Arabidopsis thaliana: one gene and its partners. The protein of the gene in region 2 interacts with the protein of the main gene of each other region in a pairwise test. Each region holds a gene or a part of one and is shown on either strand. Other genes may lie near its edges.

What was found.
Region 1: the proteins of AT2G41610 (region 2) and FUT10 interact in a protein complementation assay, tested with the Arabidopsis thaliana proteins (one large-scale study listed by BioGRID).
Region 3: the proteins of AT2G41610 (region 2) and AT1G34640 interact in a protein complementation assay, tested with the Arabidopsis thaliana proteins (one large-scale study listed by BioGRID).
Region 4: the proteins of AT2G41610 (region 2) and AT4G17430 interact in a protein complementation assay, tested with the Arabidopsis thaliana proteins (one large-scale study listed by BioGRID).

The regions. Positions count from the first base shown.
Region 1 is NC_003071.7:6,687,292-6,691,518, forward strand, and holds FUT10 (fucosyltransferase 10), read right to left. Parts: upstream 2,529-4,227; 5' UTR 2,470-2,528; coding exon 2,373-2,469; intron 2,297-2,372; coding exon 849-2,296; 3' UTR 831-848; downstream 1-830. UniProt on the Arabidopsis thaliana protein: May be involved in cell wall biosynthesis. May act as a fucosyltransferase.
Region 2 is NC_003071.7:17,345,035-17,348,871, forward strand, and holds AT2G41610 (uncharacterized protein), read left to right. Parts: upstream 1-2,122; 5' UTR 2,123-2,146; coding exon 2,147-3,079; 3' UTR 3,080-3,205; downstream 3,206-3,837. Other genes in the region: AT2G41600 (Mitochondrial glycoprotein family protein), read right to left, coding at 563-734, 959-1,296, 1,554-1,736.
Region 3 is NC_003070.9:12,686,683-12,690,538, forward strand, and holds AT1G34640 (peptidase), read right to left. Parts: upstream 1,862-3,856; 5' UTR 1,746-1,861; coding exon 1,504-1,745; intron 1,115-1,503; coding exon 1,024-1,114; 3' UTR 870-1,023; downstream 1-869. Other genes in the region: AT1G34630 (uncharacterized protein), read left to right, coding at 1-61, 146-226, 320-386, 457-753.
Region 4 is NC_003075.7:9,724,147-9,728,827, forward strand, and holds AT4G17430 (O-fucosyltransferase family protein), read right to left. Parts: upstream 2,689-4,681; 5' UTR 2,656-2,688; coding exon 2,189-2,655; intron 2,112-2,188; coding exon 1,055-2,111; 3' UTR 564-1,054; downstream 1-563. Other genes in the region: AT4G17420 (Tryptophan RNA-binding attenuator protein-like protein), read right to left, coding at 250-297; AT4G17440 (chromogranin (DUF1639)), read left to right, coding at 3,702-4,274, 4,382-4,513.

The DNA of each region.
Region 1 (4,227 bases), about 11 Mb from region 2:
GGAGAAGATATCAACTAACAACATCAAGAGCATTAGACGATTATGGAGTTTCATCCAAGAGATGATAGCCAAGAACGACAATCTCATCAATTTGAGATTGATTCTAGAAAAGGAAAGAAATGGGTTCACTATTTGGTTATTAACTTTCTCATCATTCTTGGAAATTCATCGGTTTCCAAAGCATTGTGGAAATTCATTTTCTCATCATTCTTTTTAATATTTGGTTATAAATGTGTGAATGTGTGTTTGAATCAATCTCTTGTATACGTTTAGTCTAGGTTGAACAATGTTTTTTTTTAATATTCCTCATTTGTTTTGCGATCTCTGTTTGTAACACCGTTTTTGGAAGTGTCTTGGAGGGAAAACATGGAGAAGCACCTCCTCCTCTTGGAGAAGCAATCTCGACTCCTGGAGGAGCAAAGTATTCTCCTGAAGAATCAAGCTCAAACTCTGGCCTATCAGTCTTCTTTCTAGAAGATCTTCGTGAACACCTTTGTAGCCGTGTGCCTTGGTGAATTTGCATCCATAGTGGTGCAGTATGATATCGTTCCCAAACCTTAGACGAATCCAAAAAATCAGTGAAAAGATGGAAGAGAAGATAAAGAAGATTAAGGTTCTTTGTAGGCTCTTTTCTAGGGTTCTTGAGTGTTCGATTGTGTATCCCTTTCTCGATGGCGGCTCATTCCTTTAGGGACGTGGTCTCCTTTCTCTACACACCAACAGTTATTCTAAATCATGCAAACCTCGTAAACGTTTTAAAAAAATCTAACATATTAATAAACTGTAAAGAGAGATAGAATTTCTCTTTTGATTTTAAGAACTCAATAATCAAATGTGATAAAATAGAACTAAAAGTCATCATATAGCTTAAGCCCCCCATACATCATATCCTCACAATGCCTAACAAAAGGAAGAATCTTCCCCGAGTTAGTTCCCCAGTCAGCTTCACATCCATGCGAAGGAGGAGTATGGTAACATGGCTCCATCGACTTGGATCGAACACACGGTGGATTAGGAGTGGTGAAATTTACTGGCTGATAAAGTAACCATGGCTTTAATCCTCCAAGACTGTATGAAACATATCCAAATGTAGACCATCCGCTTGTGACAATGTTATCGGTTAAACTCAAAAGATACATCTCAGCAAGCGCCTTTTGGTCGTGACTTTTCTTGTCTGTTTGCTGCACTCTTTCTGCACTTGGCTGATAAACTTCGATAATCTCTCCTGTAGAACTTGGCCTCGCTAAAAACATGTTAGTTAAGTTGACAGAGTACTCTGGATAGAGAGATGCGACAAGAACTACTTTAAGCTTTGGTGGTTTAGATATATTGACTTTTGATTCTTCTTCAAATTCAGGCAACAGTTTCTCTCTTTGTGTACATGCTACGACTTGGTCCATGACATGTTTGAAATATCCAGAAGGTTTTCCGAAAACCCTTATTTGAATCCCAAGTCTCTCGTCTGCATTGGACAAGTGAGCATCGTAGTACTTAGTGACCATATCCCAAACTTCATTTGTAGGGTGAAAAAGATACCGAGCCAAATGGTGAAAGACGGTTTCTTTCTGCGGGAATAGCTTAACTAGTTTGGTTTGGAAAGTTGGATTCAGCCATAAAGATGGAACAAAGTAAGCATTGGTTTGAATAATTAACCATGGGACTTTGTCGATAAAACTTTGATCCTTTTGGCAGAAGAACAGCTTATCACTATCCCTAGAATCATGGATGTTATGGAGATATAGATGTGGCGGAATTGAAGTCGAGTTGATGGCATGATTTTCCAACATTGTACCGTAACAACGAGGGTATTCCTTATTGTAGCCATAAGCATAAGTATAATTCAGCATTGGAAAGTCAAGCGGAAGCAACCATGAAGTACCTGGAAATGGCTCACATAAGAGATCACTAACATCCTTGCGGTTGTCAACAAGAATGATTCTCTCAGTCAAGATAGCGTAGAGAAACACGGAAGCAAGAGTAATTAATCTGTTTCCAAGCCCGTCCCTAGCTAGCCATACAATGTATCTGCATTCACCATTTGATTCGCTTGCATAGTACTCATCACGACTAAGCTTCTCTGTTGCTTCTTTGTAAGCCTTGGTATCCGGACCGCAACGTTTGTGAAGCATCTCATAGCTTCTAAGCTCAGAGACGAGATATTCCGAAGGCATGTATGGAGAAGGCTTGCGGTACAAGAAATATTTATGATACCTACTCAAGCAAGAACCTTCATCAAAATCCGCAGTTAAAAGCCCTCCTATAAGTTTATCCACCGGTCTTTCGGATTCCTTTATATCTATAACAAGAAAATGATATGAACTGAGGATTCATTGGGTTAACAATAAAACACAAGATATGGATAATTTTCTTACCTTTGGTTGTAGCATCAAGAAGTTGGTCGTTGAAGTATTTTGAGAATGATAGTATAATTAGTAAGCAACCAAAGACGACCGCGATCAGAATTTTCATCTTCAACCCCAAAGCCTTTGTTGGAGATATGAAATTTGTGTTAGTTGTTGACTTTCGTTTGATCGGTTATAAGTGTGAGATGATTCAAAAAGAGTTTACAACTTTTATATAGCTTGATTATAACTTCTATTATCAACCACAGATCATGTAAATAAGACTTCGAATATTTTAATGTGAATTGTTGAGTTGACTACACACGATCTCCGAACGTGATTCCAAATTTGTTTTGTTTATTGTTGAGTTACCAATAAAATTGTTTTTTGTTTTTGTTGTTAGAATTCCAAATTGTGATTTAGAAATAATTAACGAAAAAAATGTCAATAAGAGAGCTGTTGTGAATTAACGGGTGTTACAATATTGTAATCTTGGAATCTAAAGAAGTAGGGATTGTCTGGCACGTGGCGGAGCCAGCGTATCGATCCATCGGGGTCAAAAAAAAATTCTTTCTAAAACCGCATAAGTTATAAACTCAAGATTGAAGATTGAAACAAAGAAAAAAAATAAGAAAAAAGAAACTATAACGTTTTTAGAATACAAAAAATGTTAAATAATAGGTTAAAGTATATTAATGGGCTTAATTATAGTATATTTACTTTTAAAACAAAATATTATTGAGGTGAATTCTATATACAAGTACAATTACCTAAATACAATATAGTTGTTGGGCTTAACTATTAGAAGTCTTCTCAAGTAAATTGTTTTATAGGGGTCAATTTTCTTATTTGATTAGAGTCAATCTAACATATTAAATAAAACTTCAGCTAATTTTTTAAATTTAACCAGGGTCAATTGACCCATGTGACTCTATACTCCCTCCGCAGCATGCAAACTTGAATTAATATAGTGAAATATGCAACATTTTGTTACTGAACATATATTGAGATCTGTTTACATTCCCACTCTTCAAATATAATCACTTATTTTTTATCCATATAATGAATTAGATAAAGTCATGTGCATTGCTGAAACGATTTACCATAGTCAAATTCCTAAACTCGATTAACAAACGCTCAAAAAGATATTCCAAAACGATTGAACTGTAAGGCTCTAACATTACACGAATAGAACTATGGTTTGGTTTCCGCCTAGAACCTTTGACCAAGTCCATTATTACTCAACATATTTCTCATTTTTTTTAGTGAAAATTGCTTAGACTGACTCTAATCTTAATAGAAATAACTATTGTGACTCCCAATAATCGATGACTAACTATTATGACTCATATTTTAAGTTAAAAGACTATTTAACCTCAGTCAGTATTAAAACTATATTTTGATTAAAAAAAAAAAGAATTACTAATAAAAATAAATAAACAAATGTAAAAATAACAAAACTCAGAAATCCGGTTATGGAAACCACATTTCTATTTCTTATCAATTAAATTAATGTTGTCATAGCTTGTAAAGGAACGTACTAAGCAAATGGGCAAACTAAAAGTTAAGAACTTTAGTATGTAAAATTAAAAAGCCCTTCGCTCGTGTTTTCCAGTTCTTGTACACCGAAAAGTTAAGATCATGTTTTCGAGTAACACCGAAAAGTCTATTTCTTATCAATCCGTTGTAGTTCGTAAATCATTTTCCACATTTTATTTTTTATCAATTAAAGTAATATTGTCGTAGATTGTTTAAGAATGGCAGATTGTATGTTATCACTTTTGAATTATGAGGATTAGTAGGTTTTGGTGGGCTGTTTTCTGTGGTGATGTTATCGATTTTTTTTTTAAAGTTAAATTGAATCAAACCGATTTTAACATATAAT
Region 2 (3,837 bases):
TATGCTTTTTTTATCGTTTTCCTATGATGTTATGTCACGTTAACACTATAGTATTCACACAATAACTGATTTATCTTTTCCAGAATAATTTTACTAACATAAGTTCTTTTTAGTGTTAAGTGATGCTTGCTTGACGCTGCGTGCTCCGAATTTTTGTTCTCTCTCATTTGCCTTTTTTTTGTTCGTAAATTTTTTTTTATTGCATTTTCTCACTTTTTAGTCCTTTCGGAGAAAGATCAAAAGACATTATAGGTCAAGTATTGATTTACAAAGATAAATACATGAATGAGGGTGGTTATGTAGATGTCGATTACTACTCACTATCTCATGACTAATCATCTTGAAAGATCAAAGATCAAACCAAGCTTGCTTGAAAATTCAAAAGCATACGATTTGGGGTCCCATTTGTTGGAAATATTACAGTTAACATGTATTCGTCGATACATCTTCCCTCAAAACATCCATTGCAAGGACTCTCTTAGCTAATAATACTACTCCTAAGGCATTTTACCATTGTTCCAAAAACAAAACTTGAAAAGAAATGAGCTTATGGAGTAAACACTCACGGCTTTGGAGAATGTGACATAGTTGATTCAAGCCTGCGTAACCAGTTAACGTATTGATCCTGCTCCTTCTTGTTCAGGTGACACAAAAGGAAATTAGTTAAGCCTTCACTGACCCCCTTAGATATTAGGTATTGCTCCAGTGCACTGTGTAGTTTGGGATCTACTTGGCTAAAGAAACAAAGAAAATAACACTGGTCATTGAAATCAAACATATGCAGACACATGAACCTCTAATAGTCTACTTCTTTTTCAATATATATAGAACAATTACTCCAGGGAAAGAACAATGGGAAGTGTACCCAATGCTTTGAGGTTTGGATGAAGTAAAACAGATATGATTCAAGTAACTTAAACAAAATGTTGAGAGATTATCATTTATGAGCTTACTTCACCTGAAAAAATGGTCTCCATAAGTGGAAGAAGGAGCAGAAACAAAAGAGCGGATAAAGTAGGCGCTCTCGATGTCGAAATGAGAAGATCCAGATCCTGATTCGTAAACCCGGCAATGAAACTGCAAGATAGAGCTGAGACCAGGCTTTTTGATACAAACTTTGGCATGAGCTTCCCTAGGAAACACTAAATCATCTTCTAGTTCTATAGGTTCTGGTTGCAATAAAGCAGAGACCACAACCTTCTCGCCTGAATCAAACTGTCTCTTCAGAACAATATCTTGGCTTTCCGGTGAATCCCAATCCAATTTGAAATCTCCTAGAGAACCGGTCTCAACGCCCTGTGGGGTTCAAGCACAAAGCAAAATCATAAAGGTAGAATGTAAGTACTTAAAATCCTAGGGTTTATGAGATCCAACATCAAATTCAAATTCGCCCATCTGGTAAATCACTCTAATGTTCATCAATTCAGAAAAATGAAATTGAAACTGACAGAGTCTGATCGAACTAATGTTGAGCACCATTGATCTTAAAACTCAATTGAGAGATTACTGAGAGCAACGAAGAAGAAGAAGGAAAGAGGAAGACAACAATTTACCTGGAAACGAGGATGGGAGATTTCGTGACGAATTTCACTTTGGAGGATCTTCAACAAATCACCATTTTCAATAGCCTTCAAGCCTCGTTTCAGAAGCGGATTCAACTTCCTCATCTCTCTCTTTTCCCTAAAATTGGCTTCTCTCAATCTACGGAGCACAAAAACTAAAGTAGACTGAATCATGATCCGGTTCGGTTTAATTCGGTTTATTTCCGTAGCAATTTCAGTAGACCGGAATTTAAACGGTTAAACCGAATTCTCAGTTACGTAATCATGCAATTTAACAATTACACAGAACCAATCAATCATCAGCTGCACACCAAACTTTTATTTCCCTTGAAGATCAAGGCTTCTCTCAATACATAGTTTCATTCAAAGGGTGATTTTTTGTATTAATAAACAAAAAATGAAGATAGAATTCAGATTTCAGATAGAGTTTCATTATCCATTTTAGTTCAAGCATCTATAACCAGACAATGAAAGAGAATCAACCATATGATGATGTCACGTCACACACACTCCTTATAAACTATATGTGTAGCTTCTAAGGAAACCAAAAACATATAGATCAAAACAAAAAAAACAAACAAATTATGAATTCAGAATGGGAAATGGATTCTGATAGAAAGAAAACATTTTTCAAATGCACAAAGTGGCAATTCGAGGACACACTTGATCCTATTAACTGTCCTTTCCACTATTTCTGCGACAGCATCTATGCCGGCGACTACCCTCAAATCACCGACGTTCTAGTTTTCTTCTTCGTTACGGTTACTTATTTGACGACGCTAATTGTTGTCGTAAGGAAGGTAATATCAAGAAGAAGAAGAGAAAATGATGATGATGGTGATGATGACAAAGCAAGAAGGTACTTACTTCCTTCTGGTCCAATCTCTCTTCCTTTGATCATCTTGATTCTTGCAAAAGGTCAAAGGATCAATACCCTTTTCCCAATTTCCATCTTTGGACCTGCGATACTACAGCTTGTTCAGCTCTCAGTGCTTTTATTTGAGAACAATATCGAAAAAGAAGCGAGTTTTGTCTTCTTCGAAGCCTCTACTATCTCTGGTATTCTCCACGCTAGTCTTTACTTAGACGCTGTGATTCTCCCCTATTATACAGGATTCGATGCTCTGGTCACATCTACTTTCTCTGGAGTCTGCAAGTCTTGTATATGCAGGAAAGAGCCATTAATAGTGGGAGGGAAGATTGTCTCTTACCGAGGATGGTCTAGTACAACGTTCTTGGTGGTTGGTGTTTTGTTTTTGAGGATTATATGCAAGTTATGCAAAGAAGAAGGAATAAATAAAAGAGTTTTGGTGGTTAAAAATGTTGTGCAAGGACTGACATTGCTTGTTCTTATAAGAGATTGTGTGTACTTGGCCGTTATGTCTCCTGTTGAAGAGCCTATCTTGTTTAGGGTTTTTGTGTTTGGTTTTCTTCTTCTGTTGATATGTGTTTATGTAATCACAAAAGTATGTTGTTTGGTTAGTCGGAGACAGAGTAAGAAGACATCAGACACATGAAATTTGAAACAAAAAGGAAAAATCAGAGGCAAGATGAAGTAAATGTAAATGATTGCTTAATGATGAGTTTATATTGGATGTGATGATGAAATGGTAAAACTTAAACATTACTTCTATATCTATTTATATTTATCCTTATTGTAAATAGTTAAATCAAAACAGTGAGAAGTAGTAGTGTCAAGATGACGCAAGATAGTGGTTACAGTTTTAAACAAGAAGAAATAGAAAAGTGGTGTAACACTTGCTAATTTGCTAGATATTCCATTAGGAAATTGCTTTTGAAAGCCTTCTGAGTTGGTTCATCACTTTACCCGAACAAAAAAATGACTTTTTACTTCTACTAGGCATAAATAAGTCTTGGCTTTTTAATTCAATATATTGGTTATGTTAATGTTGAACAAGATTATATTACAGCTAGTATATATACTGCGATGCAATGTTAAATTTTAGATTTAAACTTTGTTAAAGAAGATTAACCTTAAGAAAATAAAATTCCTAGATTTATAAATATATGACTAACCATACATACATACATATTCAAGTTCAGAAGTCATAGAATTATATCAATAATTAGGTGGTACCACTGTACTATCTTGTATTGTTATTTGTAGCATTGGATAGTTTTACGAAGTTTGTACTTATACATAATGATTAATGAGATCGTCGATCTCTGGTATGCTATTCCGATGACTAATTTATCCCCAAGAACCTACGAACAGAGATTATTGTTACATGAGTTCTCATTGATCATGGGTGTA
Region 3 (3,856 bases), on a different chromosome or scaffold from region 2:
TCTATGTCCCTGTGTATTTGATTCCAGCGCTAATAGTCCATCGTCAAGACCTGCTAAAAAAGTAATAGGTTTATGTCTAAACTGCTCATTGAATGGTATATATCCTCTGATTTTATTCATCACCTCATAATATGTTTCATCACAGGCAATACTCTATACTTGGCAAGGGTCTTCTGGGCACAGCGAGATCAAGTTTGTTTCTCGCTACTTACTGCTCTTCTGCCTGGTTAGAATCAATTCTTGGAAGGCTCTTATCGATTTTTGTTTTGTTCTCACTTGAAGTTGGAACTTAGACCATCTCTATAATGATGTAAAATAGGGCTTGGACTTGTCTACTATTCCGCACTTTTGAGACATGCAACATACCGCTTGTGGCCATAGCAACAGTACAAACGAAAGCCATTCTCATCACATATCATTGTTAATATAATACCTAACGTTAGGCTTCTCCTGCAGTTCCCAACAGGTCTGGCTTTAGCTATTGAGAAGAAAAGCAGAAGGATAGAGATATCACTATACTGCTTAGCGAGGGCGATAGAGAGCTTCTTTACTTGCATGACAGAGGCAGGATACATTCGACCGCCCAAGAGTTTAAGAAGAGCGGATGTGGTTGTGTTCAGCGTTTCGACAGCCATTATAATGCATTGTTACGCACAAGAAAGAGACGTATTTCGATCAAAATACTTGAACGTACTAGATTGGGTCTTCGGTGTTCCTCCTCCCCCTCCTGCTCCTTCTTGCGAAACAACCTAGAGACATTCACTTTTAACCTAAAGATCTTTCTGATGTGGGACAGAATTTGGTGGTAGAATGCTCATTTAGAGTCTCTAGGAGTTTTGTTTTGGGTCAATTTTGTATACCACAATCCATTTGACAATTTTTGTCCATCTTATGTGGACACACCAATATGTAATCTGGTAGTCTTACATGTTCTACAAAGTTAAAATAAAACGAAGCTAAATATTTTGTTAATCAACAACACTAAACCATAAAAAAGATGGACCAAGTAAATACAATATGGCTTCAATAATTTGATACGAACATCCACCACCTATACACTGCATATCCATAGACCGTGCCGTATAAAACCATCCTCATAGGGTACACTCTAAACCTGCATTACTTGGTCCAAAGATGTATCCATTATCCATTAATTAGGCCAGTAAACCAAACCAAAATTTGGATCTAACAATTAAAATCAATAGAAAATATTCACGAAAATAAACAAATTCAATCATAACTTGTACACCTAATTCGTAGATATACAATAATACATACATTGCAAATGGAACCTAACATTGTATGTATGGTTTGAGATTCGCTCTTTTGAATCCAAATTAATATCGGTTGACAAAAAAAAAATTGTATGTATGATTTATGTTTATCCAATAGGTTTTAAGGCAATAAAGCTAAACCAAAATTTAGATCTAATAATTCAAAGATTAATATATAATGATATGATAAAACAACTAGTTTGATATTGAGATAAGATAAACAAGTAACCTTGAAGGATGAGATTTGCGGGCGAGAGCGGCTGATCTTTCCTCGGCGGTGACAGGATAGCCCCACCGAGAGAAACTCCGATCAAAGAAGTCCCAATCCGGCAAAAGTATGCCGCCAATAAGAGAAATACCGACGGCGTAAGTAACAACCGTCTTCTTTAAAGACTGTGTCCATAACCATACAACTACCATCACCACTGCAAGACCTACCATTGATGATCTTAGTGCTGCTTCGTTTCCCATTATGGCTAAGAGAGAGTAGATAGCTTATATTTAAAACGGGATTAGTTGAAGTTGCTTTATAACAGTGTAAACATGGAAAGAAGATTCACAGATTATGTAGGATGTAGGAGAAAGATTTCATTTATGTGTTAAAGATAATATTTAATGGATTTTTTTATATAGGGTATATTCTTTTGGAAAAATGCGTGGCAATCAATTGAATTGAATGCCGCCATAAATGTGGTAATGTCCCAACCGTATTTTTGGATCCAAGTTTTTGTGTTTGTTCAGTTTTATCTTTATTTATGGTTTTGATCATAGAGTAATTAGAATTATACCGAAAAATTAGGAAAAAAAAGATAAATTTTGGAATGACAAGAAGGAATTCACAAACTTTTCTTTATTTTTAATTTTTTGTAGTGTAAATGTAAAAACGGATAATTTGGTATGAAAGAATTATACCGAATTGCATCATACCATATATATAAACAATATCTCTCGGATTAACTCTTTGAATTCTAATTAATATCGGTTGCCAAAAAAAATTTGTAGAATAAAATGACATAATCATCAAGCGGGACAGAAATTATTTTTAACTTTCACAAGCATAAGATTATATGAGTACGTTGTACTTTAAACATAAGACAACAAAAAAATCTTATCATATTTTTGAGGTAAAAAAAATTATAAAATTGACCAAACAATGTGTTATACATATGAAATTTACTATTTATTATTTATTTGTTATCTCATTTAATATTATGTTATAATTTTAAATTGATAAACTTAAATTTTGAATCCTCAATATTTAATTAACTTTACCAATCAAACTCTACATCTACAACCAACACATGTAATCATACAACAAAAAGTTTATAGCTACTGCCGAACAACAGTAAAAAGGAAAGTTACTACTCAACCAAACACCCACATAATTGGTTACTAACATAAATTTTGTTTTGATAGTTGGCATCGTTAGTAATAACCTCAAACTTTTCTTTTCTTTTCGCCAAAAAGTAATAACCTCAAACTACGAATGTCGTTTTGTAAATGAAGATTTCTAATTTTTTCCTATAAATGTGAAAACAAAGTAAATACTCTTTTTCATTGATAGTATATTAGTATCTAAAGCATTAATCTTACAAAGGTTGTTAGATCTATATAAATTCAGAAACAATTTTTTAAAATCCGAAGCCACAAAACTACGCATTGACAAAGGACAAGTTTAAGTCCCTTGGTAGAAACAAATGACGTCGACTATTTCTATTGTTAAATAGCGACGAGATTAAGCCCTCATATATATGCGGCTAAATAGCAACACCATGTTTCTTTTACACATGTTTTTCTATGAACTTGCTACAAAAGTTCATGAGAAAGTGTGGTCACATCTTAATAATATCTATTCCTCGGTAACTATTTTAGTCTATATCTACTAACCAATATTTGAATATTTTCTCAGTAACAAAGTAAAATATAATACTGATTCCCCCAATGGTACTGTGATGCCACATTGCTAAACACTCAATTAAGTTTGGTTTTGATACCCCTTATAACATCATGATCGCCAATGTTTATTTACCATCAATTACAGTTTTGACCTACAAATCTCATCCTCGTTATTCGACCAGTGCACTTCTACATGTAAGGTTGATAGACTTGTTTACTAGTCTTGTTGATCATCACAAGATATTTTTATGTGTTTTGTGAATTCTTGCACAATACTAAAAATCACAATCTTTATATTGCTTCGCGTGTGGGATCAAACCTAACGATAAGATCAAGAAATTTGTTCCAAACCTCTCGTAAAGACACAAACAAGACACAATGAGAACTCTGGAAGCTCTACACTAGCTAGGAATCTGAGTTTGTAAGAACAACAGATCATCATATTTTTTGAAAATCATTTAAGTCGACTAGACCTGGGTAATAATATCACTTAATCCCTTCTCAATTATTTTGGATGCATCTTCAACATTTTGTTTTTGATAAATTCGAATCATATATGCAGAAAAAACAATTTAAATACAAATGATAAGATGATTTAGCTCTTAAAAATGACCAAAGAAACAAACAAAGATGAGAAGAAGAAATTTTGATTCTCATTATATCTTTTTAATTAAAAAATAAAATTT
Region 4 (4,681 bases), on a different chromosome or scaffold from region 2:
ATCATATAACCACTTGTGAGATTCATACTCCCACAGACACATTCAAGAGATCAATTTCTCACCCAGGAAATAGCTTATTAGCATTATCACTGAATTAGATGTAAGTACACATCACATTACTCAACACCTACATGAGAAAGGATCCTAAAATACTCGCGAAGAAGTATATTCGAACACTAGCCTTCTCGATAGTGACAGACAAGAATACGAATCTAAGAGGCGAGAAGAGAACGAAGATAGAAGACAAACCTGATAGACATAAGGCTGAAATGGAGTAGAGAAAAACGGAGCAGCCATGGCGGTGAAAACCGCAGAAAGATCTTCCAAACAAAAACCTCCGAATCCAAATTTCCACAGAACCAATTGGATTAGAAAACCTTTCACGTCGATGCGAGACGATCAGATCGCAGATCCAAATAACACACTCGAAACACTCTGAGCTCTCTCAAAACTCCGGTCGAAATGTTCGCGGTGGATGTCACCGACGGGAACCCAACAAAACGACAGATTAAATTCGCTTAAATCGGCCTGAAGCTGCACGTGGAATCTGTTTACGTGGAGAGATCTCATTGGTCACAAAATACACATCGACGTAAAATTTCATTTCCGGTTTAATATAATTACATTTCTTCTCAACCAACCCTCTTTCACTAGATTTATTTGGTACAAAATTTCTTATTCAATAGCCGGTTTAAAGACATTGGTACAACAATTACAAATCTTGTCGACCACTAGAGACATCTACAGAACTCACAAAACCTTTACTAAGCAACCATCCCACGCAACCTTTACTCTTCCATTGTTGTGTGTGAATAATCAGAAAGGAACCAAGTAGCTTCATCTATTAATAAGAAACTTAGATAGTTTCCCAAATAACTTAACAACACAAAACAATTTAAGAGCCTGTTTTCATCACCAATAACTTCAAGTGGAGACAGATGACAGATCTATCATCTATCTCTATCCATCTCTATACAAAGACCGGCAAAACTTAATAAAATCACTACACATTGGCTCATCCACCAGATGAATCCAATAGAAATGCAGTCTGAGTTCAACTACTACTACACGCATTGTATTTCCTCATCATCTCTACACTATCAGCTATTGTAGACCCTGGAGTACCAACAAAACCCAGTGAAGCACAGCTACAAACAGCTTCCTCTATGTAAAGCTGCACATTGGATCCTCCATGAGGGTAACAATGGGTCTGCATCTTTTTTATACTATCAAGACTCATCGGAATAGACCCAAATTTCTGGCCGTGACTCGCTGAATCAAGTTCATGCTCTGTTCGCGCTAAGAATTCATCTTGTTCCCCTATAAAGTGGAGCTTGAAATTTGTAGAGTTCTTAGACAAATCACCCAAGTAAGTTCCGGTCCAGTTAAATTCAGGAAGGTCTGTCATTACAAACACATTAATTAGACCAGGATTCTTAACGCTCAAAGCTTCCAACTTCTGATATAAACCCGTAAAAGTGCTCTCCCGATGATTCTTGAACTGGCCATCTAGTAATCTAAGTTGTGCACAAAGAAACGGCGCCTTTATGGTTTCTGAAGCAAATTTCTTTCCCGCGATCATTATCTCTCGAACAAAAGGAAGGAAATCGACCTTCTCAACCAAAGATTTTATCTTTGGAGATTTATGGATATCGATATACAGCTCTGAGCCTTTGTATGGAGCTGTGAAGAGGCTCCCAAATGCTAGAATAGCTGCAGACTCAGCTTCTGTACCATGTCCAAGAGTCTTATACACATCTCTTCGCCTTCTCACGTTGGACAATTTCTTTTTCTTCTTGAGCTTCTCATCAGGCTGGAACGAATCTAATCTCCCATCAGCTTCTCCATTTTTATAAGTCCAAACAGTGGTTCTACAATCTTCATCCACAGCATACAAACATTTATCTACATTACCACGAACTCCAGATAACAAATAGCCACACTGTTTCAGTGACTCATAAGCCTGAGACTGTTCAGCTAAATCATCAGTGCATAGAGTCTCCAAGTCAACACCACACTGTAGTGATGCAAAGTACCTAAAATCAATGACTCGAACAGCCGAAGAAGATACCAGCGACGAAATGTCTACAATATCAGCCATCGAAACGTACCTATAAACACCAACATTTGTCACCCACATTGATCAAATTACTAAAACTCATTACGAAAAAAAAAAGAGATTTTGTACCTGTCAGTCTTAAGAAGCTCAATTGAATGATTCCAAACTGAGATTCGTATCTCGCTGGGACTCAAAACCCTAAATTTAGGACAACTACCGAGAGCAACGGCGTGATGATCCAGAATCGGAGGAATAATTAGGGTCCGATTAAGAATTCCCGCCATAAGAAGCGCATTCTTAAATTCCGATAGCTGATTACTGAATCCACTGTGAGGAGCGTACCAGAGAAACTTCTGACCTAGAAGAGTTCGGGTTAGTATCTCGGATCTGCACTGAGGGAATTGAACGGATCCAGAAAATGCAGAGATTGAGAACAAGGACTTGGGCATCTCGGAGTAAGTGATGAAGAAGACGACGATGAAGAACACAACAAGTATAGAAACGGAGCAAAGAAATATCGCAGATTTGTCGGTTTGCTTCTTCCTGTTTGGCCATGGACGTGGGCTTGGTCTACTGGGATTGAAGAAGTTGTTCATGTTTTTTGCTCTGAGGTTTTAGTCGCCATCATTGCGTTGCGTCTAGTTTTGCTCATGTGTAGAAGATGCCAAAACGGTGAGTGTCACTGTTTTGGGCCTAACTAATATTCTCTGATGGGCCTTAACTAAAATAATACGAACTTAAACATAGTTAATTTTAGAAATCTTTTTGTAACATAATCTATACGAAGCTATTTGCGCGTCCACATAACATTTTAAACAAGCAATGGAGATTAGATATCTTGCTAATTAATATTTATGAACTTATTTTTATTTTTATTCTTTTTAAATTTTTGTAAAATAAAATAAAAAATATATGAAAATAAAAGAATATTTAAAAATATAAAAAATTTCTAAATATTTTGTCACCAAAATAATATTAAAAATATCAAAATGTAAATTTCTATTTTATTAAATTTATACACAAAAATAAATTTAGGTCTTTGGACCTAACTAATAATATTCTTTGATGGCCTAGAGAAATCGAATTCACTAGATGATCTAATATTTGTTGATTTTTAGTCCAAAATCGAATTCACTAGAGAAATTAACCTATTTAGCACTTACATGAATATATTGATCATCATTGATAGACTTAAGCAGTTGTAGTCTTTTAAGCTTTTTACGGGTTCTTTTTTTTCTCTTCTTTTCTTTAAGATCTCTTTATTTATATGTCTAAATCTAAACGTAATTTTCTGGATTTATTGTTAACATATATTAATCCCCATATCAGAAGGATGATAATTGATGTTGATATATCAGGATATAAAATAATTAACTAATGATTTATTTTAGCCAACAAAATATAACATACTTTTAACAAATCGTGATCGAATAACAATAAATTCTAAATAACACTTTAAAACACTAAAAGTCTTTTGAAATCATAAACCAATAACACCCCATGAATAAAAACATAATTAGAAACTTACGCATGCATCAGCTTCCGTAAATCTCCTACATCTCTCTCTCTCCTCTCTGCTTTTTACCTTCTAGGGTTTTTGATCATCTCTCAGGTGAATACGTTTTGGTATAATCTCATACCAATGTCTGCGAATTCCAAGTCGGAGAGGTCTGCTTCTCAATCGGCGGAGACGGTGGCTGTTTCTAACCGTGTCGTGGCGTCACGGTCAAGTCGTCAGCCGCGTCTCTCTTTCTCCTCCTTTGCTCCCTCATCAGAGCACGATAACCTGAAGAAGCTGAAATCCGATGAGATTTCTCCCGCGAGAGAGGAAGTGCCGGTGTCGGTGAAGGAGAGAGAAGAAACGGAGGAGGAGGAAGCGAAGAGGACGTGGAATCTTCGTCCGAGGAAGGCTTATGGTGGTTCGAAGAAAGGAAACGGCGTGTTCACGGCGGAGGTTTGCGGTGGCGGCGGAGGAGGAGGTTCGGAGGTGAAGAATCAGAAATCAGGCGCAGGAATTGAGCCGAAATCGAACAGGCAGAGAGGAATCCCGGCGGAATCACCCGGATTAGGCGGTGGTGAGGTTGCAAACGAGAATCATAGGCTTTGGGTTGCTCTAGCTCGAGACGAGATCGAAGAAGATTTGTTCAGCATGAGTGGGAACAGGTCATCTCGCCGGCCAAGGAAGAGGGCAAAAGCTATGCAGAAACATCTCGATGTAAGTCACCAGGTGTTCGACGAATTGCCTCACAGAGAATTCAAAACAATGACTACGTTTTTTTAGTGTCTCCATTTTCTTAGGCAATTCAATGTCTGCCATTGTAGGTCATTTTCCCTGGATTGGGTCTCGTTGGGATGAATGCTGATTGCTTCAGAGTAGCCACTTCTCCGGCTAAGGTTAGCTTTGATCAGTCCACTTACTTGCTCGATGAAAGCTTGGATCAACCTGCCCTTTAGCTACATTGATCTGTAGATAGTATGAAATGGATGAAAGTCTAGACCTTTAGGTGCTATTACAGATTTTATGAAGTTTCATTCTATGTTAGCTTTACGTAACCTAATGGTACTGCTGCTTTAATGATACAAAACCCGTAACAGCGATTGTATTCCATTTGCAGTGATGAT